Oryctolagus cuniculus: one gene and its partners. Each later gene encodes a partner of the first gene's protein in a complex. Links are inferred from orthologs where the notes say so. Each region holds a gene or a part of one and is shown in the gene's direction. Other genes may lie near its edges.

Region 1 (9,528 bases):
CTCCATCTGTGTCTGCCACATGGGTGGGCGATGACCAAGCCCTTGAGCCACCACCTACTGCCTCTCAAAGTAAGCACTAAGAGGAAGCTGGGTAGGGAGGTCAAAGAGCTGGAATTCCAACCACACACTCCAATACAGGATACGGGCATCCCAAGTGTCTACTCATGTGCTGTACCAAACGCCTGCCCCCTAATTTGTCTCTCAGGGGACCATCATGTGCCTTCCCACCCTCCTTTGAATGGTGGCTTATGTAACTGGTCCTCCTCCTGAACTCTGCAGTCTGTGGAGTATTCCTTTATGCATGAGGACTGTCTGCCCAAATAGATTATAGAGTCTTTAACGACTTTGTATGCCTCGGGCATCTGGCATAAGACACTGCCTGCACTGGCAGTCTGCGAGCGTGTTTGTGGATGATGTAGGTGAGTGGCATTCTTTTGTTTATCCATCACTTACTGAGGATCTGTTCTCGGCTAGGCACGCTCTTGGGTGTCAGGAAAGCTGAAGTCCAGGCTTTCAAGCGGCTCCTGATCCTGGAGGGAAGGGGAGGGAGGGAGGAGGTGAGGGGGGCTGAGAGATAAGGATGAAGCATCCCCACAGGCGTGTCTGGATTACCCCTACAGGTTTTCTTCCCCAGGAGATGCCTTTAGAAGAGCAAAACCACTGTGTGAGACTGAACTATGCCTTTTTTGTTTTCTTTTCCAGTCCCCTAGGGACACAGTGATGTGCTTGTGGGGGTGGGTGTCCTTCTCAGGGCACCATAGACGTGAAGGTTTTACCATTTTTCCCCCTAAAGTTCAATGCTCTTACTGTTTTGTTCTTTGCTTTTGAGGTCTCTGGTAACTGCCCTGAATTTTCAAAATGGTCTATTGTCTATTGCTAATTTGCTTTTATGTGATATGTATTTCTGGAAAATCTACTTGTTCTTTAAAGTACAAACGTCCCCTTTCCTGGGAGGACAGAAGGAATTATTCCTTCCTTTTTCTTTCTTTACATTGTGACTTCTATCACAACTTTAATACAACCTGACTTCACTTTGTGTTTCATTTTGGCTGTTCAGAGGCTCATTATTCCTTTAGACTATTAAGCCTACTGAGGGTAAAGACCATATCTTATCTTAGTAGGCGTGTCTTCTTGGACCTTCACCACTAGTTACTGATACAGGGTAGGTAATGAGTAAATGCTTGTTGATTAAAAACCTGGAATTTTGTAATAGGATCCATGTTTAGTTCCCTAACGCTTCTAGGACAGAGTCAACATCAGTAATTTCTGCATGGATTGTTTGATTTTGGTTGTAGGAATATTTGCTAGGCACATGCTTTCCAGATAATATCAAAGAATTTTTGGATTCATCTGCATTCAGATTAGGACTTTCTTTTCCTGCTTCCTTCTTGACACCTAGACATTGTTTTATCACTAGAGTTTTGGTTTTCCTCACTTCTTGATTTGTTCCTAATACTTGTCATGACAATTCATATATCTAGTAACAGCCAGCCAGGGTATGTCTCTGATGCTGAGAATAGGGGATGACAAAAGTTTATATCTGAGATCTGTTGAAGCAGTTTAATTTCTTTCATCAAGCAATAGGTCAAATGTACTGATAGTCTTCTGATAGTTTTCTGGCACACTTTGAAAGACATTTTCAAGTCTCAGAGGACACTAGGCTAGGAAACCCAATTTGAAGCTCAAGAGAGCTATTTGGTTTCCAGTGTTTTGTATTTCTCCTACTCACATATATCCATGTATTACAGGATACAACCATATCAGGTTTTCCCGTGAAGCCATTTTACATCACTGCATATTGAATGCCATTCTTTTCATTTCTTTTGTCACTGATATTTAAATTTTCATTCCATAGCAAGTGTAGTGGTTCTTTGTAGTCATTCGTATAAATTTGCTCATTCTACTCTCCTGGCCAAGGTGAAACTCAATCATTTTCCTTGGCCAAAAATCCTTTTAAAAAATATAGATTTTATGTTTTGATGGCTTGCTTAATCTAAGTGCTGGCTTGGAGTGTGTGTGAAGGGCTGGAGGAAATGATAAATGAAGGAAGGAAGTCGCACACCTGGTGTCCATGAACCCAGGGTGCATTCCTGGCCTGCAGCAGTAGCACAGCCGTGGCACCAGGAGCATCTCCCAGCAAACGTGGAACAGCGATTCTCTTCAGAAAACACCATTTACCCTGAAGACCTCGGTTTCCATCAAGGCTGGAGGCGGAAGAGCTTGGCTTTTTGCAGCTTTCAGGCCAAATCAAGCCTGAAGGAGCAAACTTCTTGTTGTTACTTATCGGGAAGATCACCACGAAACACATACGCAACACTTTTACATAAACTTAACCGGAAGTGGAAAAGGAAAAATAAGAAAAAAAAAAACCTAGAAACAAATCTTGATTTTCCCATTTAAAATTTTTTATTCTTTTCTTTCATCCCGCACGGATTTACATGCTCCCAGAAGCCACCCATAAGTTCCATCTCGGTGGAGCAGGGTACATTCGGTGACTTGGCTGTGAAAACATCGCGTGCCTTTTCAAAAACGAGGAGCATCTGTAAAACGGAAACAAGAACAACAGAAAACCAAAACCAAAATCACCTCAACAGCATGAAAAGTTGGAGCCTGCCAGGAAGCTCCCGGCAACTTGGGCAGCTTCATTTTTCTGCTCAGATTTCTATCTCAAGTGAATTGCAGGGTCCTCGCCCCCTACCCCTCGGGGAGGCAGTGACCACTCCTCTCCGGCCACAGCCCACCCGGAGAGAATCGTATTTTCTAAGATTCAACTGGGGTCAGTAGTGACGAGAGGCAGCTTCTAACCGAATGGCGTTTGAGGAATAACCTCGGGAAAAGACAGAGGCCACCGCACAGCGGCCTCGCGGAGCCGGGCAGGGGGTCTCCGGCGCTGCCAGCGGGGAGCCGGGCAGGGGGTCTCCGGCGCCAGCCGGTGCATGGGCTCGGGGCCGACTCCCGCGGCTTCCAGGCGGGGCCGAGGCGGCGCTCCGGGGCTGGTGGGCTGAGAGGCAGGCGGAGGCCGCCATATTCCCGCTCCACCACGCCCGGGCGGCCGCAGGTTGCCGGGGTTCCGGCCCGCGGTCGCAGCCGCCCGCTCAACCCGAGCGGCTGTCAGCGGGCCCTGCCCCTAGCCGAGGGCGGCTGCGTCCGCCGGAGCCCGCCGGCCTCCACGGAGGGCGCGGGAGAGGGCGGCGCCCGCGGAGCCTGAGGGGGCCGGCCCAGTCAGGGAGCTGCGCGAGCGAGGCGAGAGCCGCACTGGGCGGCGCGGCGCGCGGCTGCGAGCCCAGGGAGAGCCTTCCAAGAGGGGCCGGGCGGCTCCGCCTCCCGCGCCCGTCCCTCCGCCTCCGCCTCCTGCCCCTCCTCCTCCTCCGCCTCCTCCCGCCGCCGCCGCTGCCGCCGCCGCCGCCGCCTCCCTCCCGGATCTGTGCTCCAGTTCAGAGAAAGAAGAAAATGTGTGTGTGTGGCGAGGGGGAGGGCGATCACTGAGCAGCCGCTCCGCGCCTGGCAATCGGGGCCGGGGGTGGGCGTTTGGCGGAGGCGGAGGCGGAGGCGGAGGCGGAGGAGCGCGCGGCGGGCCGGGCCGGCGAGCGGGGTTTGCGCGCTTAGCCGGGCGGTGGGCGCGGGCAGGGCCGCGGGCGCCCGGGAGCCGTGTCAGGCGGCGGCGAGGAGCGGGCGCGCCGGGTGCGGGGAGCGGTCGGCGGCCGCTCGCTAGGGGGGCGCCCCGGTGGATGTGCTCTCGCCGCCGGGCGCAAACCGTAGGGGAGCCTCGGCGGCGGCGCGGGGGGCGAGGCGGGCTGCCCGTTCCCGGGGAAGGAGGCGCGGGCGTCTGAGCGAGGCCGGGCGCGGCGGCCTTCCCTTGCGCGCCCCCCGAGCCAGCGCCCGCGGCCGCCTCCCGCGCCCGCCTCGCTCCGCCGGGCGGCGAAGGCCTCCTGCGCCCGCCTAGACCCCGGCCCACCTGGTGGCCCCGGCCCTGGCCGTCGCCCCCGCGGCGGTTCCGCGATCTCATCCCGGACGCGCGCCCAGGCGGCGGGGGCTCAGCGGCCACCGCTGCCTCGGGGGAGCGAGGGCGGGAGGGTGTGTGTGTGCGCGCGTGTGAGCAGGGGGTGCCGGCGGGGCTGCAGCGGAGGCACTTTGGAAGAATGACTCTGGAGTCCATCATGGCGTGCTGCCTGAGCGAGGAGGCCAAGGAAGCCCGGCGGATCAACGACGAGATCGAGCGGCAGCTCCGCAGGGACAAGCGGGACGCCCGCCGGGAGCTCAAACTGCTGCTACTGGGTGAGTACGGCCCGGGCCGGCCGTGCGGGCCCTCCCCCGGGCCTCTGCGCGCCCCCAGCCCCCGCCTCCGGCCCCTCCGGGCAGCCGCCCCCAGCCCCCGGGCTCGCCCCTACCCTCCCCGGGCGCGCCCCCGGCCTCCACCCGCACCCGCGCGGGTACGCGCGCGCGCGCACACACACGCCCGTGCGCGCGGAGGGTTCGGGGCTGCCTTGTTGGGTGCCTCGGCGCGTGCTGTCTTGTGTGTCCCTTGTTGTGGGGGGGGCTTGCGTTCTCTGCGGTGTCTCTGCTCAATGGCAGATCAGATCTGGCTAGGGGCGCGGGGCTGGGAAGGTGGGCTGAGGGCTTGAACTTGCAGCGCCGGGGCCGCCGCGCCCCCAGGGGTGGTGGAGCTGTGTGTGTGTGTGTGTGTGTGTGTGTGTATGTCGCCCGGAGGGTGGCGAGCCGAGCCGGGGCACAGGGCGCGGGCGGGCGGGGGGGAGATGGCGCGCCGTGAGGTGGCCGTTGTGCATCCATTATCGGTGCGTTCTGGGGTCCAGGAGAAGTGGGGGAGCCACCGGTGGGCAGACTGGCGAGTGGGATCCCCAGGGGTGAAAACTAGAAGCCCAGCAGGGGTCGACCCTCCCCAGCCAGGGGTTCGTGGGGTGGGGGCGGGGAGGGCGGGCAAGCCCCCGTGTGTCACCCGAGTGTTCTTCTGCAGCCACCAGGCCACCCACAGGAGGGGCCCAGCAGAGTTTCTTGGCCAGTGGATGGTGGCAGGCGTGCTTCTCGGCTGCACCATTCCTTCCGGATTAGGACCGGGGCGAGGGGAGCGTGGCTGGCGTGGTTGTTGACAGCGACGGGTATCTTTTGTCTAATGAGGCATCCCAGATCTAGGCCTGAATTCACAACAGTACCGCAGCCTTTCCGTCCCTCTCCGGGGGAAAGAGAGAAACCTTTTGTTTGAAACGGACAGCATTGTAGTGTCTTGGGCATCAGGGCTGCAAAGGAAAATTTCCCTCTGGTCTCTGAATCAACAGCCCCGCGTTCTGCTTTCACGCGAAGTTAGCAAGAGAATGCCGTCTCTCGAATAGGCGTCTATGGATGATTACCTCCGAGAGAATGCTCGGAATCAGGCCACCAGGGTTCACAGACAAGCCAGCGTGAGGGCACCCGGAGCTATTGTGGTCGGCAGAGGCCTGGAGGACGTCTGCACTTGTGTTCTGCGTGTTTGTGTGTGCATAATAAATGCGCGTCTCCGACAGGAGAGAGTGTGGTCTGGGCAGTTCGGGTGGCAGAAGCCTGTATTCCCTCTCTTATCTTGAGCATTCCATCTGCTGGAGAACCAACTGTCTTTGGGGACTCAACTGCTCGTGCACTGGATCCTTTGCAAACAGGAACAAAATAACAGGGCCACCCGTACTTACGAATGGCTACTCTGCTCGCCGGGCTGTGTGTCTTCCTTCTGAAGCCCTGTTAGACAAATGTACACAGGTTCATAAAGGAACAGAAGGCAGCGGGCTGGGGGGAAGAGGTGGGCTTGAGGCCGTGAAGCCGGGGGAGGGAAACACTGCGCTTGGAAAGTGAGGTTCTTTAAAAAAATATATTTTTTTTAAATTTTATTCTCATTTTGGAGGTTGAACATTTTCTGAATTCTCGGGATTGAGAAGAAAGTGGAGAGAACAAGGGAAGGTGTTTAAATACAGAATTCAGGGGAGAAAACATGTGGTGAAGAGAGACTTGTTTGAAGAGCTGGGTTTTCTTTTCCTTTTGCCCTGTTTACTGCCTTTATTTGTTTCTGTTTAGCTGTGAACAGGGCGTCTAAGGTCTCTGCAGTCAGCTCTGTTGGCCTGAACTATGACAGCTCTGGGTTTCCCAGCAGCTGTGCCTTAGCACAGGGGCTTTGTCAGAGGGCCTGGGTTTGAATGCCCAAGAGGGAAGAACACTTCCATAGAGGCTTAATTACATGCCCTGTGCTGTGCTTTTATGGAATGAACCGGGAGATCATTTTCTGAGGAAAGAAAAATGTAAGGTACAGTTTCACAGCTTACGTGGTGGTGGTGTGGAGACTTCGCTCTTATTAGACATTTCAGTAGGGTTTCATATGGCCCACCTCATCCCCATACTATGGCCCATTAGAAGTGGTAGAAAAATAGGATATTAATTGAGCATCTACATTCATGAGTGCCATTTGAAAATGCATCTCTCTGACAGAAGCTTGATCCTCACACATCGTTAGGAATTCCTACTTCATGTTCTAGGCGTGTGGCTTTTGTGACTTAACCAGTGCAGTGCCCACACTACTCACGTGGTAAAGATAGGTGCTGAATGTAGATGTGTGCCTGTGTGTGAATGGTGGGTGAGTCCAGGAGGGAGCCGAGGGCTGAGCTGAGCAGGGAAGGGTAACGGGGCGGCTTCCGGCAGAGGGATTTCTGCTGTGCTGCTCTGATGAGTACCCTGAATTTTCCCGATCCTTCCTTCATTTACACAGAGCCTACCCCGAGGGAGGGGGTTACAGAATGTGTTCTCTCAGAGTGTCTAAAGATCTGGTATTTTAAACTACCTACTTAAATGGAGGAATCAACCTTATAGTAAATGAAATGCAAGATAAAATTATTTTCAAAGTAAATTTTAATTTAAGACATGGCAGCATTTAAAGGAATTGTGTGGTAGGGATAAATGTGTGTACCCTTGCATTTGTTCACACAACTATTTAATATATATTAATAATATGGAGGAATTAGAGAAGGAAAGTAGTGTTTGGCTGACGACACAGAAGTGTGGCAGTAGAATTTGTGCTGTTTTGATTCATATCCAGCCATTATGGTAATGTCTTCCAAATTTATTCTGCAGTACTTGCATATTTTAATTTTTAATCTTTTTAAAAATGAACCCTGAAATCTACCACCTTAAGAATATCTTCTTAATTTCTGAGTTCATATTTTCTTAAAATTATTCTCTTAATTTATTTACTTTAGTGATTGTTTTCTTTGACACCTAAGGAAACTTTGTATTCTACATAGACATACAAAAGCATGCTCTGTTTTAACTTTACTGCTGTTTTTATGTATTTTCTAGGTGAAAAGTACATTATATTTGCTTTGATTAATATTCATGAATTCACTAAATATTTCTTTCAGTAGTACATGGGCCACACCATTTAATATTAATTTGTCTTCAGGTCTGTAAAACAAGTTGTCCCAAATGCTTGCCTTGGGTTATAGATGTTCATTGTGAAATTGTTTTCAATTCCTAGAAGATACACTTTTTCCCCTCTTAACCTGCTCTTATTTTATGCATGTTTGACATCTTTTCTGTTTAGATCATAATCATCAAATAGGAAGATTTTGCGAATTTGGGAGGGAGAGGGAGGGAGAGGTAGAGAAGAGAGAGCAGGAAGGGGAGGCAGAGAAGGAAGTGAGAGAAGGAAGGCAAAGTTTAGGTCAATGTTAAATGAATGCGGTCTTGGTTTTCTGAACTGAATTACATGCATGGCTGTAGATTTTATTCCTATTCTGCACTGCAAGATTGTAGGCATGGAGATTGTGTCTATTTGGTTCACTATTAAATCTCAGCTTGTTGTACATGTTCTAACTCATAGAATGCCCTCAGAAAGTATTTGCTGAATGAAAGATTTTATTTGTGACCCTCCTGCTAGAAGTTGGGATCTGATAATAATGAATAAATTATAAGAGCCAGAGGGATAGGTAATGTTTTTATCTACAGCACATAAAATCATGATCTTTTGAAAATTGTATGTGGCTGTTGGAGCCAGTTGGTTACAAATGCATCACATAGTTGATCCTGTATATTACAGTTCTGTGCTGGGTACACTGCGAATGGAACAGTCTTGCCCAAAGTGAAAATTTAAAGGAAAAAAACCTGTTGTCATCTTGATTACCTTTTTATCATGTAGTGGGTGGTTTAACCCTGTTGTCTTTTTGCCAGACATTTTTCTCTATGATGCACTTAGCAGAGTGAATTTTTAATATTCTGTTGAGAACAGATGATGACCAAACAGATTTTTGTGATTTACTTAACAATGTTACATGAGGAAAACCACAATGGGTAAATACAGAATTCTAGGGATTGCAGATGGAACATTTTTTGATACAAGGGGCATACATCTTGTACTGAACGCTGAACAGTTGGAGAGCAAGAAGAGACTCGGAAGCCTGGGAATGTTCTGGCCAATTTAGACTATATGGAGGGTTCATTCATGCACACCTTTGGATCAAAGCACCCTTCCCTCTGTCCTTAGTAGACTGGGGATGGGGGAGGGCTGGGCAGGTTGATGGCTGCAGTTAACCTAGAGGCTGCTGGCTGTCTAGAGGTGCTCCTTAGAACTCTAGAATGAAAGCATTTCTCCACCAACCCTAATAATATCATCTCCCTGGAAAGACCAGAATATGGTGTTGATGAAGCTGCTTTAAGGATCAGCCAGTTTTATTTTTTGCTACTGTTAGCTTCTGAGTGTTGAGTATGTTTCTAAATGTCAGGATTTATTTGGATGCATTCCCTCTTTTTTATTTTTTTTATTCCTTTGATCAAAGTCCTTAAAGTTTATACCTGAAGAGTGAAGTGGAGACATCCGTCATGAAAATCTGCCTGTAGCCCTGACTGTGTAGCAGTGCCTTCAGAGTGAGATCTTGTATTGAGCTATGTGGATGGCATGTGACAGTCAGTCCTGTGCTTAGGTTATTTCTTCCTGTGGGCACTTTGGCCCGGATTCAAACCCTACCCAACAGTGAATTTATTTCGTGAGTATCTGTTCAGATATTTTTAGGTGAGTTTGGAAAGGAGAACCAGAAGAATAATTTAATAGCCATTTTGTTTACTACAAATAACTTTGATAACCTCCTTTTCATAAAAAAAAAAACAACAACAACAGCAATTCAGCTTCACTGTTTGAGAGATGGCTTAGGTTCAGTTTTCAGAAGTGTCTGTAGTTAGAATTTTTATTACACATGGATTTTTAAGGGCCTGAAAAAGCTTTTGTAGTTGTGAGGCTGCATGTGATACTAAACTTAGCTGAAAAAAGGAAGAGATTTTTCTTTATGATCCAGACAAGCTTATACTTGAAAAGAAATTAAGATTTTCCAAGGATGATCGTGATTCCTGCATTCATATTAATTTTTCTCCTGGGAGACTTATTAGTTCTATTGATGTTAATGGAAATGTTGATTGGGTGTTGTAGAGGGAAAACATAGCTCTCAAAGGGACTATCTTGGAAGAGAGAGAAGCCATTTTATAAAGGTTGAGGGTAAGTTTCTCCCT
Region 2 (9,090 bases), on another chromosome or scaffold:
ATGCCTGCAACAACCCAGGCTGGGCCAAACCCAAGCCAGGAGCCAGGAATTCCACCCGGATCTGCCACGCGGGTGGCGGGGGCTCAAGCACTTGGGCCATCACCTGCTGCTTTCCAGGCACTGGATTGGAAGCCAAGTAGCTGGGACGCAAATGGCACGCAGGTGGGGGCCACGGCATCCCGAGCGGCTTAATCGGCCGCACCGCAGTGCCCACAGCTGTGGTCTCGCTTAAGCACAACCAGGCACTGTTGCGGTACCTACTGAGAGCAGTTCCTTAACGTGATCAAACACTCGGCATCTAAATGTCTCGTTGTCTCCTAAGTGTTATTTCAGTGCTGTGTCCCTGGCCAATCCACGAGAAGTCAGACATCATCTCATGGGTCCTTTAAGGCTGTGAATCTGAGCTGCCCCCCACCCTTACTTTCCGCTGTGTAGCTCACATGTGAGAAGCTGGGCCCTGGGCTTTGCGTGCCGGGGTGTCAGTGCGTCTGTCACCCACTGTTCCTGTTGATTGGGTGCTGGGGTTCGGGTGCTTGTCTGGATGTCAGGGCCCTGGGGTGATTAGGTCATGGGGTGGAGCCCTCAAGATTGGGGTCAGCGTCCCTTCTGCACGCAGACAAGTCTGTAAGCCGACCCACGGGGCAGGCACAGGCCCTGCAGGCTGCACCCTGACCTCCCCCAGCCCCCAGACTGTGGGAAGTTCCGGATTCTGGGTTCAGCCACTGAGTGGGAGGCATGGCGGCTGCAGGGTCAGTGGCTCTGGATTCAGGTCCTCTTTCTGCCAAGGTCACCTCCCTGCTTCCTCTCACCCTCAGGCACAGCAGCTCCACTTCGGTTTTCTGTGGTCGGGTGGTCGTGGCCAGGTGGTCGTGGACCGTGGCGCACTGGGAGTGCCCTGGATGGAGCAGGCTCGGTGCGGGGGGAATGGCTTCTCCTGTGGGGACTGCGGCTGCTGCAGCTCTGCCACTCGCCCCACACGTCGGGGGTCAGGTGGAGCCCAGAGACCCTGACGGGCTTCAGGTCAAGGCAAGATGTAAACACAGGAGGTCATTTACAGAGAGTGGGTTTTAAAGTGGCAAATTAGAAAGTGTGAATATTCTGTTTGGAGCTGTAAGTTGCGTGGGTCCCTGTGGAGTGCAGCGTGGAGCCCCCGCGAGGCTGTGGAGGCTGGCGTGGTTAGGGTCGTGGGTTTTAGAGACGGGCTGGTGGGGGTGACCTCTGTCCACTGCCTGGCAGTGAGGCTGTATCAGTGGTCCCTGCTGCAAGGCCGCCATGGACTGGGAGGGCTGGAGGCAATGCTGGGCCTTGCTGGGAGGGGACGCTTACGGGACTGAGACAGTTTCATGTTCCAGAGCTCACTGCCGTCACCCTGCCGGGGCGTGGGTTTGCTGTCAGGTGGCCAAGCCCATGGCCTGGCAGGAATGGCCGCTGAGTGCGCCCCTGAGCCTCGCTCAGTCCTTCCGTGGTGCGTCTCCCCGCGTGCATGGTCCAGGGCTCGCAGTCACGTTCAGCGACTCTACAGCTGGAACTGGAGATGCTGCAGTCCGACTCCGACTGTCCAAGGCCTGAGTCTCGGCAGTAAGCAGGGAAAGAGACCTATTCCAGGGGCTGGAGCGTCCAAGGCCGGGCAGCCCCATCTGCTCAGCCTCTGGGGAAGCGCCCTTCTGGGTACATCACAGCCTGGCGATGTGTCCCGGGCAGGAGGTGCCTTGGGGGAGGCCACGTGGCAAGAGGGGAGGTGCTCTGGTGTGACAGCACGCGAGCTGACGTACCCTGTAAGGCCAGCGTGGCTGCTTCCCGAGGGCACCCACCCACCTCTCAGTCCCATCACATTGGGGACCGCGCCTCCAGCAGGCCACGTGCACGCTGTCACAGCCACTCCTGCCGCTCTGCCGGGGCGAGGATCACAGGTGCATGCTAGTTCTTGGAGCACTCGAGAACTAGTTACTCTGGAAAACAAATAAGTGGAGCATGCAGTGAAGTCAGTGTGGTGGTTGGTGTTGGGTAAGAATGGACTAGAATAGTGTGAGAGACATCAGAGTGCACGTGGGTAGTAGAGGCCATCAGGGTGCACCCTGGGAAATAGAGGCCATCAGGGTGCACCCTGGGAAATAGCACCATAGAGTACCCTGGGTAATAGAGGCCATCAGGGTGCACCCTGGGTAATAGAGGCCATCAGGGTGCACCCTGGGAAATAGCACCATAGAGTACCCTGGGTAATAGAGGCCATCAGGGTGCACCCTGGGAAATAGAGGCCATCAGGGTGCACCCTGGGAAATAGCACCATAGAGTACCCTGGGTAATAGAGGCCATCAGGGTGCACCCTGGGAAATAGCATGAGGGTGAACCCTGGGAAATACAGAGCGTCAGGGTGCATCCTGGGTAATAGACCATATCAGGATGCACCCTGGGTAATACGATGGAGGACCTAGTTTTTTTGTGACACATTTTTATGCATAGATGTATTGGGAGTGGACGTGTTTCTTCCTGTAAGTTGTGATCAAGTATTTGAAAGGCACTGTAGTGTGTAGGCATGTTCCTTTTTACTTGAACATGATGGATTCTATCTGAAAACTTACAAATGCAGTTGGAGCAGTAGCGATTGGTTTGTCCCTAGCCCCTAGCGTGTGAGTTTCCTGTAGCAGGGATGGGTTCCCTCCCCCTGCTGGAGGCAAGTCTGAAATCACTCCCTCTGAGGCTCCCGGACAGTCTGCACCTGATGCTTCCGGCTCCTGGCGGCTCTTGGCATTTACTTGGCCTTCCTAGAAATATCCTGGTCTTTCCTGGAATTCCTTGGCCGGACCTTGGCGTCAGTCTGTTCTCACACCACTTTGTCCTATGTCTCCTTTGCTGTCTCCACCTCCCTCTGCGTTTTTCTCAGAGACCCTTGTCCTAGGCTAGGCTCCCCTGGGTGATCTCAGAGCTCCTAGTGACGCCTGCAGAGCCCCTTGCCCGAGCAAGGCCAGGTTCAGTTACGGGAAACGAGACTTGGGCTGCTCTCTGGGGGCCACCTGCCAGACTGCACAAGTGGAAGGTGAGTCATGGATCCCATCACTGTCCAGCGCCCCACCCATGGTGAGCACCCTTGGTCCCCAGGGGATCTGGAGGGAGGGAGGGAGGGGTGCATGGTGGCAGTGGGGAGGGTGGTTGGGGGGTTGAGGGAGATGCAGGAGGGGCTGGCTGTCCTCTCTGGTGGTAGCCGCAGGAAGTCCCCGGGTCTCAGGCGTTAAAGTGAATTCTTGACTCCGCCCCACGCTCTCGCTCCCTCTGCTGGTGGTCTGTGGATGCTTGCTTGGGTAGTGTGCCTGTGGATTCCTTTGTGGTTTTGGGGTTAAGCTCATCCTGCGGGGAGGGAGGGGGAGCTATGCTGGAAGGCAGAGTGACTTGGTCATCAGCATCCCCTCCTGCCCCGTGACCGGGGGCCAAAGGGCTTGTCTGCCTGAGCGCGGAGGAGGGGAATCCCTGCCCCGTGCTGGGCGCAGAGGGGCTGTCCCGTATGCTGGTGGAACTCTGGGACAGGTGTGGCCGTAGGCTGCCCTGGGACAGGGGCTGGGCGGGACGTACTGTCTCACACTCTCGAGGGCTTGGGAGGCAGTTCCCGCTCAGCCTGGATGGATTTCTACCAAGTAGTTGAGAGCCAATGGGTGGGTGCAGTTTGTTAGAAAAAAATATTGAGATAGGACTGGTCTTTTTGTGATTTCCAGAAATCGGTGTTTTGGGGGGCTTCACAAGAACTTCCAGTAAAAAAAACACTTGTCGGTGCCCACGCTGTGGTGCAGCCAGCCGTGCCGCATCCCTTACCGGTGCCGGTCCCAGTCCCGGCTGCTCCACTTCCGATCCAGCTCCCTGCCAGTGGCCTGGGAGAGCAGCAGAAGATGCCCCAAGTGCTTGGGCCTCTGCTGCCCACGTGGGAGACTTGAAAGAAGCTCCTGGCTTTGGCCCGGCCCACCCCTGGCCATTGCAGCCATCTGGGGAGTGAACCAGCAGATGGAAGATATGTCTGTCTGTCTTTCTCTAATTAAATAAATCTAAAATAAATAATCTAAATAAATAAGTTGTAAAAAAAAATCACGTATTATAAAAAGCACCAAGGCAAGAACATCCCAGTCGCGCCATCCCCCAAAGCGAGCCCCTGAGCGGGCGCTGTGTCTAGAGGAGCCAGGAGCCAGGAGCCAGGAGCCAGCGTCTCCGTGGCAATGACCTTGTTTGTCTCTCACAGGGACCAACAAGACCTCTAAGGGGCGGAGTCTGATCGGCAGGAACACCGGCTCCTCGGCCGTCACTGGGAAGGGCGTCCCAGTGCAGCCGGGGCTCTCCGTGGACGAGTTCTCCGAGTCCGTGCTCAGGGGGAAGCTGACCACCGTCTTCCTCCCCGTGGTCTACACGCTGGTGTTCGTGGTCGGCTTGCCGAGCAACGCCATGGCCCTGTGGGTCTTCATTTTCCGCAGCAAGAAGAAGCACGCCGCCGTGATCTACATGGCCAACCTGGCCGTGGCCGACCTCCTGTCGGTGCTCTGGTTCCCTCTGAAGATCGCCTACCACGTGCACGGCAACCACTGGGTGTACGGGGAGGCCCTGTGCAAGGTGCTGGTGGGCTTCTTCTACGGCAACATGTACTGCTCCATCCTCTTCATGACCTGCCTCAGCGTGCAGCGCTACTGGGTCATCGTGAACCCCATGGTGCACCCCGGCAGGGCGGCCAGGCTGGCCCTCGGCGTCTCCCTGGGGATATGGCTGCTCATCCTGCTGGTCACCATCCCCTTGTACGTCGTGCGGCAGACCGTCCACATCCCGGCCCTGAACATCACCACCTGCCACGACGTGCTGCCCAAGGACGTGCTGGTGGGAGACATGTTCAGCTACTTCCTCTCGCTGGCCATCGGGGTCTTCCTCTTCCCGGCCTTCCTCACGGCCTCCGCCTACGTGCTCATGATCAGGACGCTCCGCTCCTCGGCCATGGACGAGAACTCGGGCAAGAAGCGGCGCAGAGCCGTGCGGCTGGTCATCACCGTGCTGGCCATGTACCTCATCTGCTTCACGCCCAGCAACCTTCTGCTGGTGGTGCACTACTTCCTCATCCGCACCCGGGGCCAGAGCCACGTGTACGCCCTCTACCTGGGCGCCCTCTGCCTGTCCACCCTCAACAGCTGCATCGACCCCTTCGTCTACTACTTCGTGTCGCAGGACTTCCGGGACCACGCCAAGAACGCGCTCCTGTGTCGCAGCGTGCGGACCGTGAAGCGGATGCAAGTGTCCCTCAGCTCCCAGAAGGTCTCCTGGAAGTCCAGCTCCTACTCCTCAAGCTCCACCAGCGTCAAAACCTCCTACTGAGCCCCCAGAGCTCAGGCGCAAGCGTCCGCTGACTGCTCAGGTCCCGGCCCCTGCCGCTCAGCACGGCCCAGTGCGTCCCCATCTCCGGTCCCGGCCCCTGCCGCTCAGCACGGCCCAGTGCGTCCCCACGTGCGTGGCGGGGACGTGACGCCAGTGTCCGCCTCAGGGACCATGTGCCCAGACGCTCCCTGACGCTGCGTGGCCAGCTGCAGACTTCTCAGGAAGTCGGAGAAACCAGGTCAGACGCGCGAAGACCACACTCCCGGCCCAGCCGCCATTTCTCTTGTCAGAGGTCAGCTGTGGTCTCCTTGGCCCCGAGGGCCCCCGTGGTGGTCCCCCACCCCGATCGCTGAGCTCACAGGCATGTAAGCCCCGGAGAGGTGCAGGAGCCGCCCGGCGCCAGGGCCCAGGCGGTGTCTGTGAGCTGCGGTGCCGGGTGCTCTCACTGCGCCATCAGCAGTCACCGCGGAGCAGGTGGGAAGCAGTCAGGCGAGCTAAGGCTGGAGCAGCCCCGGATCTGTGTCTGGAAGGCTGTGCCGATCGGAGCCCCCGGAGGTTGGAGAACCCCTCTCCTCCCGGTGCGCTAATGGTTTTTGAAAGCCCAGAACTTTCTGTGTCTCTTTTATGTTCACCCCATAATGAAATCTGTTGCCTTTTTGATACATTGTTTCCTTTTAAGTCCTTTGGGCTTTGTTTATTTCTGGCTATTGGAGGATTTTAAACATTGTATACTCTGCTTCTGTTGGACTTGTAAGTGACTCTGGTCTGAGTTACAGACCGCAACTGGCAGTATCCTTCACCGTTTAGTGTTGTAAAGAGTTGTTGGGATGTTTGTGGTCAGTGTTCACTCGCTGTGGGGGGGGGGGAAGGGTGTCTGGGTTTGCACCCCGTCTGCTTGGAAAATGACACCAGAGACAATGGGCTTGCGGCGCGTTTTGAGGGTGCTTGACTCCAAACCGACTGCACCGCTGTGGTCGTGACAGTTTGAGAATGATTATTTCATTGTGCTACTGATTTATAAAAAAAATGAATTTTTTTACAAATCGTCTCTGTGCTGTTTCCTTTTGTTCTGAGGGAGGCATGGGGCGGGGGAAGGGTTGTTGGTTCTCAGGGCGTGTGGGAGACCTCTGTGTTCAGGGCGGCAGACTGTCAGGTGTGCTGCAGGCCGTCCCTGCTGCCTCGAACGCTGTGTGCAGGCTTTGTGGAGAGAGAGTGGCAGGGAAGGTTCTGGAAGTGGAGTGGCCAGGTCAAAAGTTACGTGGGGATTTTGAGTTTTCACAGTGCTCGCCAAGTCATGTCTCTGCCAGAGTACCGCGTCTGCCCGGGTCTGCCTCCCGGGAGTTGTGAGGGGATGGTGAGGGGATGGTGAGTCGGCTCTGAGCGCAGGTCCCGAGCCGGGCCAGGTTCTGACCCCGCGGCCGTGGGGAAGGTGCTTCCTGGTTTTACTAGGCAGGTTGGCTGTGCCTTCCTCGTGACTTTGCAGGGTGAGTAGTGGTGTGTTTGTGCACCCTAAGCACGTGGCACTGTCGCTATCACGGTTGTCCCACCTCAGCTGTGGTTACAGCTCCGTGGTTCTAGCTCCCCTCCGCAAGTGCGGATGGAAAAGTCCAGAGGCCAGCAGCTCATGTGCTGTGACCTGGGCAGTGTCCTGAGTGGCGTGAGACAGGTTGCACTGCCGTGAGTCATCCTGCCGTCTCTGAGCCCAGTGCCTGGCGGAGGTCTGGTGGGGTCACAGCGCCTGTGCTCAGGGGCCCCTTGTTACCCCAGTCCGTGGTCCACTGTGTGCGTGAGCAGGGACTCCAGCGAGCCCCACTGTGCGCGGTTCAGTTGTGCCAAGGAGAAGCTGGGACGGTGTGGAGAGAGAGAGGCCATCGTTCATATTACTCTTTTTCCTTTGATATTCTTTTCTTTTTCTTTTTCTTTTTTTTTTTTTTTTTATTAGAGAGCGGTAGAGACAGAGAGGTGTTCCATCTGCTGGTTCGCTCCCCAAATGGCTGCAATGGCCGGAGCTGCACCAATCCAAAGCCAGGAGCCCGGAGCCTCCTCTGGATCTCTCACGTGGATGCAGGGGTCCAAGCACCTGGGCCATCCTCTGTACTTTCCCAGGTGCGTTAGCAGGGGGCTGGATTGGAAGTGGAGCGGCCGGGACTCGAACTGGTGCCCACATGGGATGCCAGTGCCGCAGGCTGGGGTTTTATCCCCCTGTGCCACCCGCCCCAGTCCATGTTACTCTTTTATAAAATAGACCCCACTCCCTTGTTCTTGTTTTTCAAGATTGTAAACATATTTATTTGAAAGGCAGTGGGGGGAGGAGAGACAGAAGTCTTCCATCTGCTGATGGACTCCCAGGAACCTGGAGCTCCAGCCAGGTCTCCGGTGTGGGTGGCAGGGACTCAGGCACTTGAGCCATCATCTGCCAGGCCCCAGGTGCATTGGCCAGGAGCCGGGTGAGAAGCAGAGCAGTGAGGATTTGAGCCAGCACAGTGATGGGGATGTGTGCGAACTCAGTGGTGGCTTCACCTGCTGCCCTGGCCCCACGGAACATCATCCTATGGTGTCGTTGCAGCCAGGCTGCCTCCCGGCACACAGGAAGTGCTGGCACAGACAGGGCGCAGCGGGCCCGTGGACCGGGGCCTCCCCGCGAGGGTGCTGCTGTGCCGTGACGGCCGCAGGCTGCCTGCCTGCCACCTGCCTGCACCGCCACTCCAGGCTTTGCTTTCTGGCCTGCCCTGCCCTGTGTCTCCCAGCATCCTGGGAGATCGGGCCCGTTTCACAGATGGGACATCGGAGGTGCTGGATGTGAGGTAAGAAAGCCGCCGCAGGTCCGAGGCCTGACCCCGGGGAGATCTTTGGTCCTTGCCGTTTCTTAATTAGTATTTTTATGATATGAGCTGTACCAAAGCATACAATGAAGCCACTTCCACTCCGCCACCTGTTTCTGTTGTCCTGTCCCAGAGCCAGCTAACGTTTGTAACAGTTTGTAGAGAATATGAGCGTTACGCTATTTAATTGATTTGGCAAGCAGAGTGGCAGAGATCTTCTGTCTGCTGGTTCACTTCCCAAATGGCCACAACAGCCGGGGAAGGGCCAGACCAAAGCAGGAGCCAGGAACTCCTGGGGTCTCCCACATGGGCAGCAGGGGCCCAAGGACTTGGCCATCTCTGCCTTGCAGGGTGTGCACTAACAGGGAGCTGGATCTGGTGTGACGTGAACCCAGGCACTCCGATAGGGGATAGGGGCATCCCGTGTGACGCCTAGCCACTGCACCCCACCACCGCTCCTGCGCCACATTCCGAGTGACGAGGTAGTGCCCTGGGTGGGTGACCTGGTCCTATTCTTGACTCATTTCCAAAAAGCCCTCGAGTGTGCGAGTTCAGGTGTGGAAGGAGGGATTTGAGAAGTGGACTCCCGGGAGTCTCCCGGAGCAGCTGAATCTTAGAAGCAAGGCCAGCGGCCAGCGGCGCCCCTGGGGGCTGGGGGGTCGGGCCGAGCACAGGCTCCTCGGAGGACGCCGGCGTGCGCTTGTTTTAGGCGCCCTGCCGCCCTCTCATTTTCTGAACCAAGCCCCGAAGCACTGAAAGTCTGACTGGCTCTCTGTGCGGGCTGTCCTGGGTTCCCAGGGCTGTGTCCTGGGCGTTTCCTGCTGTGTCACTTGGTTGGTTCTTGGTTGTTTGCCCCGGGAGTTCCTGGCCTGTGAGCTCATTAGCATGCATAGCTTTGCGCTGACACCTTCATCCCTGCAGCCTGGGGAGGACGTGG
Region 3 (9,090 bases), about 150 Mb from region 1:
CCCATCCCTCCAGCTGCGCCCCGACAGCCTAAGGAATCACTCCCTGCTGAGCCACCCCAGCGAAGCCCCGCACTGCTCCCCGCGGCCCTCCGCCTCAATGCCCACTCCGGCTGCAGTCACCGCCCCGGCCGCCAGGGGGAGCCGGCGCGGGAGGGGGCGGGCCCGACGCCGAGGGAGGGGGCGGTGCCGCCCGGGCCCCGCCCCCGCCCCGCCCCGCCCGGGCCCCGCCGAGTCTCTGGTCGGTCCCGGACAGACTGGCGGGCGGGCGGGCGGACGCTGACGCCGCGGGGCTGGAGCGGGCCGCGCGGGAGCGCGCGGGCGAAGCAGCGGCGCCGTCGGTCCCCGTCGGGGCTCCGTGCGTCCCCGGCCCGCCCCTGGCCCGGCCATGGCGGGCGCCAGGCCCGGCGTCCACGCGCTGCAGCTGGAGCCGCCCACCGTGGTGGAGACCCTGCGGCGCGGGAGTAAGTTCATCAAATGGGACGAGGTAAGAGCGGCGGCCCCCCTGCTCCGCCCAGATCCGGGGACTCCTCCACTCGAGCTTGGCCGGGCGCCCCCCGGCCCAGCCTGGCTGCGCTCCAGGAACCAAGCCCCGAGTTGTCCCCGTGGTGAGACTTTGCCCCCCAAGACACCCCGTCTCTCAGCTCCGGATAATTTGGCCTCCGCTCCTCGCGCCGAGACTTTGAACCCCAATAAATGCAGCCCCCCCACGCGCTGGTCTCACTCCTGTCACATTAATTCTGGTTCCCCGCCTCGGCATGGCCCCCACACCCCTGCCCGGCACGGGGCTCCCTGGCTGGAGGACCCCGACCTCCACTCTGGCTGGGGGCATCCTCGTCTCTGGTGGGCGCCGCTGGGCCCCCGCTGGCCCATTCAAACCTTCCCCACCCTCCTGGGCTGGTGCCCGGGCCCGGCGCCCCGCGTCACCCCCCAAGTTCACCCACCCCGGGAACTTTGCTCCCCCTCCTTAGCCTCGGGACTTTGAACCCCAACGAGCCCTCTCCCCTTGTCTGCCTCCGCCGCTCCCCGGACGCCCAAGCTCCCACCTGCGCTGCCGCCCGCGGCCTGAGCCCCACCCACGGTCTCGCCGCCCCTCTCTGGCCCCCAGGGCCTCCACCCCGCCGGCCGGCTCCTCGCCGCTCCTTCCCAGTCAGGCCATAGGCCTGGAAGACTCGGCTCCTTTCCGGCTGGGTGGGGCGGGTAGGCGTGGGAGCTGGGGGGAGGGGCTGGGGGCGTGGCCCGGGCGGCAGGTGTGCCGGCCCGGGTGCCCCGGCGCCCCGTGGGGGGCCCGGGGAGACCCCTCCCCTAAGGCGGGCCAGAAGGGAGAAGTTTCTCCTTTGCCTTCCAGTCTGATAAACCCAAATAAGGAAGTGGAGGCCCGGAGAGGACCCTGGGGGTGGGGTAGGGGTGCTGCCAAGGGCTTGGGGCTGCCGGGCTGGGGCCTGGGCTGCCTTGGAAGGCAAGACCCTCGGGAAAGGGCTGGGGAGGGGCCTGGGGGTGCCCACAGAACCCCCCCCCCAGTACTGGGGGCTTCAGCTGTAGGGCAGCCTTGGGGATCCCAGCAGGACTGGCGCTGGGTGTCAGCACCCTGAGCTGGGGAGGCCCATGTACCCCAAAAGTTCCAGGGGCCTCCTGTGCCTTCTGTCCCCAGATCCACCCCCACCCCTGATCCCCGGTCTCTGTAAGCAAGGTTGGGCGGGGCTGGCGCTGTCCCGTTCTGCGGATGAGGAGACTGAGGTGGGGAACGCAGGGTCCTGCTCCTCTGCCTCTGGGTCCCTGCCTTGGGCCTGCAGCAAGACGGGCGGCCTGGTCTCGCGGCCTGTACAGTGGGGACGCACTGGCACGGAGCTGCGAGGGCGGAGGGCGGCCGTGGTGATGCCGGCATCGCCCACCAGACAGCGGCCCGCTGGGGGTGGCCCCTGGGGTGCGCGGGAGCTGAGGCGGGAGAGGTCTCCCAGCTCCCAGCTCTCGGAGTCACGCGGTGACCGTGGAGTATGCCGGGGACTGGGCCCCCAGAAAGTGGGGCCGAGACCCTTCTGCCCCTGGGACGACCCGAGCCGGAGCTCCCTGCCTGGTTCCGAGGCGGGGCGAGCGTCCCCCAGGGACTCGCGCTTCTGGAAGGTGGAGCCTCGGGGAGCCTGGGCAGCACAGGGTCCCATGGGACTCGGCAGCTGGCGGGGTCAGGCTTTGCAGCCTCTGTCCCGTCAATATTCCATGGTGGGCTGCTGGAGTGGGGGCTCCAACCGTCACAGGGCCCCGGGACCTTTGGGGTCCGCGGAGCCCAGGGCGGGGGCTAGGGAGGTGGGCTGGATTTCCGGGATTAAGAGGGAGAGGCCGGCGTCGCAGCTCACTAGGCTAATCCTCCACCTAGCGGTGCCGGCACACCGGGTTCTAGTCCCGGTCGGGGTGCCGGATTCTGTCCCGGTTGCCCCTCTTCCAGGCCAGCTCTCTGCTGTGGCCCGGGAGTGCAGTGGAGGATGGCCCAAGTGCTTGGGCCCTGCACCCCATGGGAGACCAGGATAAGTACCTGGCTCCTGCCATTGGATCAGCGCGGTGCGCCGGCCGCAGCGGCCATTGGAGGGTGAACCAACGGCAAAGGAAGACCTTTCTCTCTGTCTCTCTCTCTCACTATCCACTCTGCCTGTCAAAAAAAAAAAAAAAAAAAAAAGAGGAAGGGAGATAGGGCAGTGAGTGACCCAGGTGGCCATACCTTAGGGTGGTGCTGGGGCCAGAACACAGGCCGCACCCAGGATCTTGGTTTTGTCCTGAGGGCCTTGGGCAGCCTGGGGGGGGGGTGTGTGGCTGCAGCAGGCGTTGTCTCGGCCACTACTGGACACCGTGGCGTGGCGGCTGGAGGGGTCAGCAGCCCTCACTCCCTGACCCTGGCTGTCCTGTGCTGTCCCCAGGAGGCCTCCAGTCGGAACCTGGTGACCCTGCGCGTGGACCCCAATGGCTTCTTCTTGTACTGGACGGGACCCAACATGGTGAGGGCTGGCGCTGGCGCGGCTCACTTAGGCCCAGGGCCCCTGCCCCAGACCTGCGCCCTGCCTGAACCTCTACCCCCACTGCTGGGGGTGGGGCCCGGCGGCTGGCTCTGACCTCTCCCACGGCTCCCCAGACAGGAAGTGCTAAGGGTGGGGGCTGAGGCTGGGGCCACAGCCAGGAGGTGGCCACTCCCTGCTGGGTGTGGAGCCTGGGGGGCTCCTAGCTCCTGCCTGCAGCCTCGCAGACGCACCGTGGCCTCTGGTTCCCCAGGAAGTGGACACACTGGACATCAGTTCCATCAGGGACACGCGGATAGGCCGTTACGCCCGCCTGCCCAAGGTGAGTGAGGGCCCGGGACGGAGCACGAGAACCGGGCTGGGGGCGCCTGCTCACCCGCGGCCCTCCTCCACTCAGGACCCCAAGATCCGGGAGGTGCTGGGCTTCGGGGGCCCCGATGCCCGGCTGGAGGAGAAGCTGATGACGGTGGTGGCCGGGCCGGACCCGGTGAACACCACGTTCTTGAACTTCATGGCCGTGCAGGAAGACACTGCCAAGGTGAGCTGGGGCTGGGGGCGCCCCCAGGGTCTCTGCCCCCCTGGCTGAGTTGCTGCTCTCTGACTTGCTGGGTGCGGGCCGTGGCTGGGCTGGCCCCCGGCCCCCACTCACCACGGCCCCCCACCCCACCCTGCCCCGTGCGTGCTGCCCCCAGGTGTGGTCCGAGGAGCTGTTCAAGCTGGCCATGAACATCCTGGCTCAGAACGCCTCCCGGAACACCTTCCTGCGCAAAGCGTGAGCCTGGGCCGCTGGGGGGAGGGGTCTAGGTGGGCATCCCCGGGTGTGACCTTGCCACCGCCACCCCCAACCCAGGTACACGAAGCTGAAGCTGCAGGTGAACCAGGATGGACGGATCCCAGTCAAGAAGTGAGCACCCCCTCCCCCCCACAGCCTCTCCTGCCCCACCCCGGCGGCACTGACCCTGACCCCCCCTACAGCATCCTGAAGATGTTCTCCGCAGACAAGAAGCGGGTGGAGACCGCGCTGGAGTCCTGTGGCCTCAATTTCAACCGGGTGTGTGGGGTGCAGGGTGCCCCCCGCCCCAGCCCAGGGCTGGCTGTCGTCCCTGGGGTCTCACCACACACCCCTCGGCCCCCAGAGTGAGTCCATCCGGCCTGATGAGTTTTCCTTGGAGATCTTCGAACGGTTCCTGAACAAGCTGTGCCTGCGGCCGGACATCGACAAGATTCTGCTGGAGATGTGAGTGGGGCTGGGCCCTGCCCCCGGCTCCCGGCGCCCCCGGCCGGCCTCTGCTGAGTGCACCTTCAGCCCCGGGCGCGGGAGGGTGCTGCCCGTGCCAGAGCAGCAGGGGCCGGGCGGGGGCGTGGCCGCGGCTCCTGTTCCGGACAGCTTTGGGCTGGCCTCCTCTGGTGCTGTCCTCAGTCAGTCCACTCTGGACGAGGGCCCAGGGCTCCGCTGCGTCGCACCTGCCTGAGGTCCAGCACGCAGTGCGGGAGGACTGGAGGCGACCCGAGGCCTGGGACGGTGGCTGAGTGCCAACTCGTCTGGCGCCCCGACGGCACCCAGCGGTCAGGAGAGCTGCTGGGGCACCCGAGGCCCCGTGTCCCAGCCAGCGGACGCTGGGGGCAGCTGCAGCCCTCTGTCTCCCAGGGCCGGGGCTGGCGAGGCTGCAGCCTGACCCGGCACCCCCCGTCCCCTCCTCCCCCAGCGGCGCCAAGGGCAAGCCGTACCTGACGCTGGAGCAGCTCATGGACTTCATCAACCAGAAGCAGCGGGACCCGCGGCTCAACGAAGTGCTGTACCCGCCCCTGCGGCCCTCCCAGGCCCGCCTGCTCATCGAGAAGTACGAGCCCAACCAGCAGTTTCTGGAGCGAGGTGAGGGGGGCACAGGTGCCCTGGGAGAAGGTGGGGGGGGTGCTCCCGGGAGTGAGGTGAGGGGGGCACAGGTGCCCTGGGAGAAGGTGAGTGGGGGGGTGCAGGTGCTCCCGGGAGTGAGGTGAGGGGGGGGTGCAGGTGCTCCCGGGAGTGAGGTGGGGGGGGGCACAGGTGCCCTGGGAGAAGGTGGGGGGGGCAGGTGCTCCCGGGAGTGAGGTGAGGGGGGCACAGGTGCCCTGGGAGAAGGTGAGTGGGGGGGTGCAGGTGCTCCCGGGAGTGAGGTGAGTAGGGGGGCAGGTGCTCCCGGGAGTGAGGTGAGAGGTGCAGGTACTCCCGGGAGTGAGGTGAGAGGGGCAGGTGCTCCCGGGAGTGAGGTGAGTGGGGGGGTGCAGGTGCTCCCAGGAGTGAGGTGAGAGGGGCAGGTGCTCCCGGGAGTGAGGTGAGAGGGGCAGGTGCTCCCGGGAGTGAGGTGAGTGGGGGGGTGCAGGTACTCCCGGGAGTGAGGTGAGTGGGGGGTGCAGGTGCTCCCAGCAGCGGGAGGGCCCCAGCTGACCCTCTGACCCCGGCTCCAGATCAGATGTCCATGGAGGGCTTCAGCCGCTACCTGGGCGGGGAGGAGAACGGGATCTTGCCCCTGGAAGCCCTGGACCTGAGTGTGGACATGACCCAGCCCCTGAGCTCCTACTTCATCAACTCCTCGCACAACACCTACCTCACGGGTGAGCCCACGCCCTCGCCCTCACCCCCTGCTGGGCGCACGCAGGGCCTTCGGCACAGCTGCCTGTTCAGTAGCCAGTGCGGGGGTGGGGGGTGGGGGGCTGCCTGCAGGCAGGGAGGGCGGGGCTGGGGCCTCCTGGGGTTAAGGACTGGCTGGGGACTGGCTAGAGCGGGGTGGTGGTGGGAGCAGAGGGCGTGGCGGGCGGGTGGCCGTGGTGACACCCCCTGGCCCCCAGCGGGGCAGCTGGCCGGGACGTCCTCGGTGGAGATGTACCGACAGGCCCTGCTGTGGGGCTGCCGCTGTGTGGAGCTGGACGTGTGGAAGGGGCGGCCGCCCGAGGAGGAGCCCTTCATCACCCACGGCTTCACCATGACCACCGAGGTGCCGCTGCGCGACGTGCTGGAGGCCATCGCCGAGACCGCCTTCAAGACCTCGCCCTACCCCGTCATCCTGTCCTTCGAGAACCACGTGGACTCGTGAGTGGGGGCCCCGAGCCGGCCCCCCCCCCGGCTCTTCCCCCACCGACCCGGGGCCGCTCACCTGTCCTGTGTGCAGCTGCCCCCAGGGACCTCTGACCTCTGACCTCGGCCTTGCAGGGCGAAGCAGCAGGCCAAGATGGCCGAGTACTGCCGCTCCATCTTTGGGGACGCCCTGCTCATCGACCCGCTGGACAAGTACCCGGTACGGGGCCTGGGGCCGAGGCGGCGCGGCGGGCAGGTGGGCGGCGCCCCGGCGGGCCCTGACCCTTCTGTGCCCCCCAGCTGGCCCCCGGCGTGCCCCTGCCCAGCCCCCAGGACCTGATGGGCCGCATCTTGGTAAAGAACAAGAAGCGGCACCGGCCCAGCCCTCGCGGCCCCGACAGCTCGGTGCGCAAGCGGCCACTGGAGCAGAGGAACTCGGCTCTGAGCGAGGGCTCAGCCGCCACCGAGCCCTCCTCGCCCCAGCTCGGTAGGCCCGGCCCCACCTCGCTACGCCCCTCAGCCGCCCACTCCCGGGGGGCCATCGCCCAACCCAGCTGGGGCTCTGAATTCTGACCTCTGACCTCAGCGAAGCACAGCCCCACGCTTTGGGTGTGACCCCGACCCCCGTGCTGGGACCTCCCTGACTGTCATGCACTTCGCTGGGTCTCATCTCAGCTGACCTTTGCCCTCCTCTGTGCGGGTGGGGGGTCCCTCTCTGACCCCTTGACCCCTTGCTTGGCTGGGTGTGCCTCTGATGGAGCCCGGGCCGCCGACCTCCCAGGCCATCCTGCACCCGGCCGTTAAGGCTGTTGTACCCAGCTCCTGACTTCTCACCCCTCCCCTGCTGTATGTGACTCAGACCTTCACCTTTGACCCATGACCCTGAACTACCGTGGGTTGATACCCCTGGCCTCTCCTGTCCCCAGCTACACTGCCCTGTGCAGAGTCCCCACCCCCACCCCGATGTCCCCACCATGTGCACTGGGCACACCTCGGGCATCTGCGTGTGGCCCTTGTCCTCTGCAGGGTCCCCCAGCTCTGACAGCTGCCCTGGCCTGAGCAATGGGGAGGAGGCAGGACTGGAGCAGCCCAGCCTGGAGCCTCGGAAGTCCCTGGGTGAGGAGGGCCCGAGCCGGGGCCCTTATGCTGACCGTGAGGAGGAGGAGGAGGAGGAGGAAGACGAGGAACAGGCAGACCCCAAAAAGCCGACCACGGACGAGGTCCGGTGTCCAGGCAGGGTGGCGGGGGAGGGGCTGAGAGCGCTATGGTCAGGCCCTCCTGGAGGGCGTGTGTGTTGGGGGAGGGAGTAGGGGAGGGAGGAGGCTCAGGTAAACAGGCATGGAAACGAGTGTCAATCAGGCTTTCCGTGTGGGTGGGGGCGGGGCTGAGCGCCAGGAGCTGCAGGTGCTGCGGCAGGGTCTGGTGTCACGGGGAGGGCAGAGGTGTGGGCAAGCCGTGAGCTCTGTCCGTCTCATGTCTGTCCACTGGCTGTCGTGAGCTCCGCCCGTCTCGTGTCTGTCCACTGGCTGTCGTGAGCTCCGTCCGTCTCGTGTCTGTCCACTCGCTGTCATGAGCTCCGCCCGTCTCGTGTCTGTCCACTGGCTGTCGTGAGCTCCGTCCGTCTCGTGTCTGTCCACTGGCTGTCGTGAGCTCCGTCCGTCTCGTGTCTGTCCACTGGCTGTCGTGAGCTCCGCCCGTCTCGTGTCTGTCCACTGGCTGTCGTGAGCTCCGCCCGTCTCGTGTCTGTCCACTGGCTGTCGTGAGCTCCGCCCGTCTCGTGTCTGTCCACTGGCTGTCGTGAGCTCCGCCCGTCTCGTGTCTGTCCACTGGCTGTCGTGAGCTCCGCCCGTCTCGTGTCTGTCCACTGGCTGTCGTGAGCTCCGCCCGTCTCGTGTCTGTCCACTGGCTGTCGTGAGCTCCGCCCGTCTCGTGTCTGTCCACTGGCTGTCGTGAGCTCCGCCCGTCTCGTGTCTGTCCACTGGCTGTCGTGAGCTCCGCCCGTCTCGTGTCTGTCCACTGGCTGTCGTGAGCTCTGACTTTGGGGGCCCAGAGGGGATGGATGGCGGGGCTGCCCAGAGTCGCCTTCACTGGACCAGAGTTGGAGGGGAGCAGCAGGGGGGTGATGGGCAGGAATGGCTGGGAGCGCGTGAGTGCCCGAAGCCCTGGGCGGCGGGGAGGGGCGGGCAGCGAGGGCCCGGGGAAGGGGTCAGCACCTCTCTGGGAGAGCAGGTGCGGGAGCTCCCGGCACCGCTGACACGGGGTTGGGGTCACAGGGCACGGCCAGCAGCGAGGTCAACGCGACGGAGGAGATGTCGACGCTGGTCAACTACATTGAGCCTGTCAAGTTCAAGTCCTTCGAGGCAGCGCGGAGTGAGTGCGGGGGTGGGGGGTGGGGTAGGAGGCCCGCGCCCCCGCCAGGCCTGACGCGGCCCCACCTCCCCCCGCAGAGAGGAACAAGTGCTTCGAGATGTCGTCCTTTGTGGAGACCAAGGCCATGGAGCAGCTCACCAAGAGCCCCATGGAGTTCGTGGAGTATCCTGCCCAGGGCTGCGGCGGGGCGGGGCGGGGCGGGGCTGCGGCGGGGCGGGGCGGGGCGGGGCCTGGGCAGGGCTGGGGAGCCTCCGGGGGTCGGCAGGCCCAGGGGTGCGGGCTCCAGGCAGGCGTGGCCCCTGACTGCCAACCTCAGATACAACAAGCAGCAGCTCAGCCGCATCTACCCCAAGGGCACACGCGTGGACTCCTCCAACTACATGCCCCAGCTCTTCTGGAACGTGGGCTGCCAGCTGGTCGCGCTCAACTTCCAGACCCTGGGTGAGCCCTGGCCCCCCTCGACCTTGACCCCCGATTCCGCGAGCCCCACCCGAGCGACCTCTGGCCCCGTCTAATCCCAGAAACCTGGAACCAGACCCAGACGCACGCAGACCCCGGCTGACCCCCGGACCCTGATGCCCTTTGACCCCACCCTGACCCTGTCCTGCGCCGTGGCCCCCAGACGTGCCAATGCAGCTGAATGCCGGCGTGTTTGAATACAACGGGCGC

Evidence for each region.
Region 2: the proteins of guanine nucleotide-binding protein G(q) subunit alpha (region 1) and F2RL1 are in contact, whole or in part, in a cryo-EM structure (PDB 9D0A), measured with the Homo sapiens proteins. The link is inferred for Oryctolagus cuniculus from reciprocal best matches to the Homo sapiens genes GNAQ and F2RL1. Residues at the interface, in NP_002063.2 of Homo sapiens: Arg37, Ile323, Tyr325, Asp346, Ile348, Leu349, Gln350, Asn352, Leu353, Glu355, Tyr356, Asn357, Leu358, Val359; in NP_005233.4 of Homo sapiens: His108, Pro109, Ala110, Met114, Gln172, Arg173, Val176, Ile177, Pro180, Met181, Gly182, His183, Ser184, Arg185, Met265, Met268, Leu269, Met274, Asp275, Asn277, Lys280, Lys281, Arg284, Ala285, Leu288, Ile289, Tyr344, Tyr345, Val347, Ser348.
Region 3: the proteins of guanine nucleotide-binding protein G(q) subunit alpha (region 1) and PLCB3 are in contact, whole or in part, in a cryo-EM structure (PDB 8UQO), measured with the Homo sapiens proteins. The link is inferred for Oryctolagus cuniculus from reciprocal best matches to the Homo sapiens genes GNAQ and PLCB3. Residues at the interface, in NP_002063.2 of Homo sapiens: Pro185, Thr186, Thr187, Ile189, Glu191, Pro193, Arg202, Gln209, Arg210, Ser211, Glu212, Arg213, Arg214, Lys215, Trp216, Ile217, His218, Val240, Glu241, Glu245, Glu249, Glu250, Ala253, Leu254, Arg256, Thr257, Ile258, Thr260, Tyr261; in NP_000923.1 of Homo sapiens: Pro257, Arg258, Leu259, Asn260, Glu261, Val262, Leu263, Arg707, Asp709, Lys710, Ile719, Asp721, Gly722, Ile723, Val724, Ala725, Ser845, Asp846, Tyr847, Ile848, Pro849, His852, Tyr855, Ala856, Ala858, Leu859, Ile860, Asn861, Pro862, Ile863.

Annotation. Positions count from the first base shown.
Region 1 is NC_091432.1:152,214,290-152,223,817, forward strand, and holds the start of guanine nucleotide-binding protein G(q) subunit alpha, read left to right. Parts: upstream 1-3,948; 5' UTR 3,949-4,139; coding exon 4,140-4,275; intron 4,276-9,528. Other genes in the region: uncharacterized protein, read right to left, coding at 2,435-2,540, 2,806-3,026.
Region 2 is NC_091445.1:1,241,504-1,250,593, forward strand, and holds the end of F2RL1 (proteinase-activated receptor 2), read left to right. Parts: intron 1-4,219; coding exon 4,220-5,331; 3' UTR 5,332-6,379; downstream 6,380-9,090. UniProt on the Homo sapiens protein: Receptor for trypsin and trypsin-like enzymes coupled to G proteins.
Region 3 is NC_091432.1:7,051,913-7,061,002, reverse strand, and holds the start of PLCB3 (1-phosphatidylinositol 4,5-bisphosphate phosphodiesterase beta-3), read left to right. Parts: upstream 1-236; 5' UTR 237-385; coding exon 386-484; intron 485-2,903; coding exon 2,904-2,981; intron 2,982-3,252; coding exon 3,253-3,321; intron 3,322-3,396; coding exon 3,397-3,537; intron 3,538-3,691; coding exon 3,692-3,771; intron 3,772-3,849; coding exon 3,850-3,903; intron 3,904-3,974; coding exon 3,975-4,050; intron 4,051-4,135; coding exon 4,136-4,236; intron 4,237-4,705; coding exon 4,706-4,872; intron 4,873-5,444; coding exon 5,445-5,591; intron 5,592-5,825; coding exon 5,826-6,066; intron 6,067-6,186; coding exon 6,187-6,271; intron 6,272-6,351; coding exon 6,352-6,538; intron 6,539-7,077; coding exon 7,078-7,271; intron 7,272-8,324; coding exon 8,325-8,421; intron 8,422-8,498; coding exon 8,499-8,583; intron 8,584-8,737; coding exon 8,738-8,862; intron 8,863-9,043; coding exon 9,044-9,090. UniProt on the Homo sapiens protein: Catalyzes the production of the second messenger molecules diacylglycerol (DAG) and inositol 1,4,5-trisphosphate (IP3).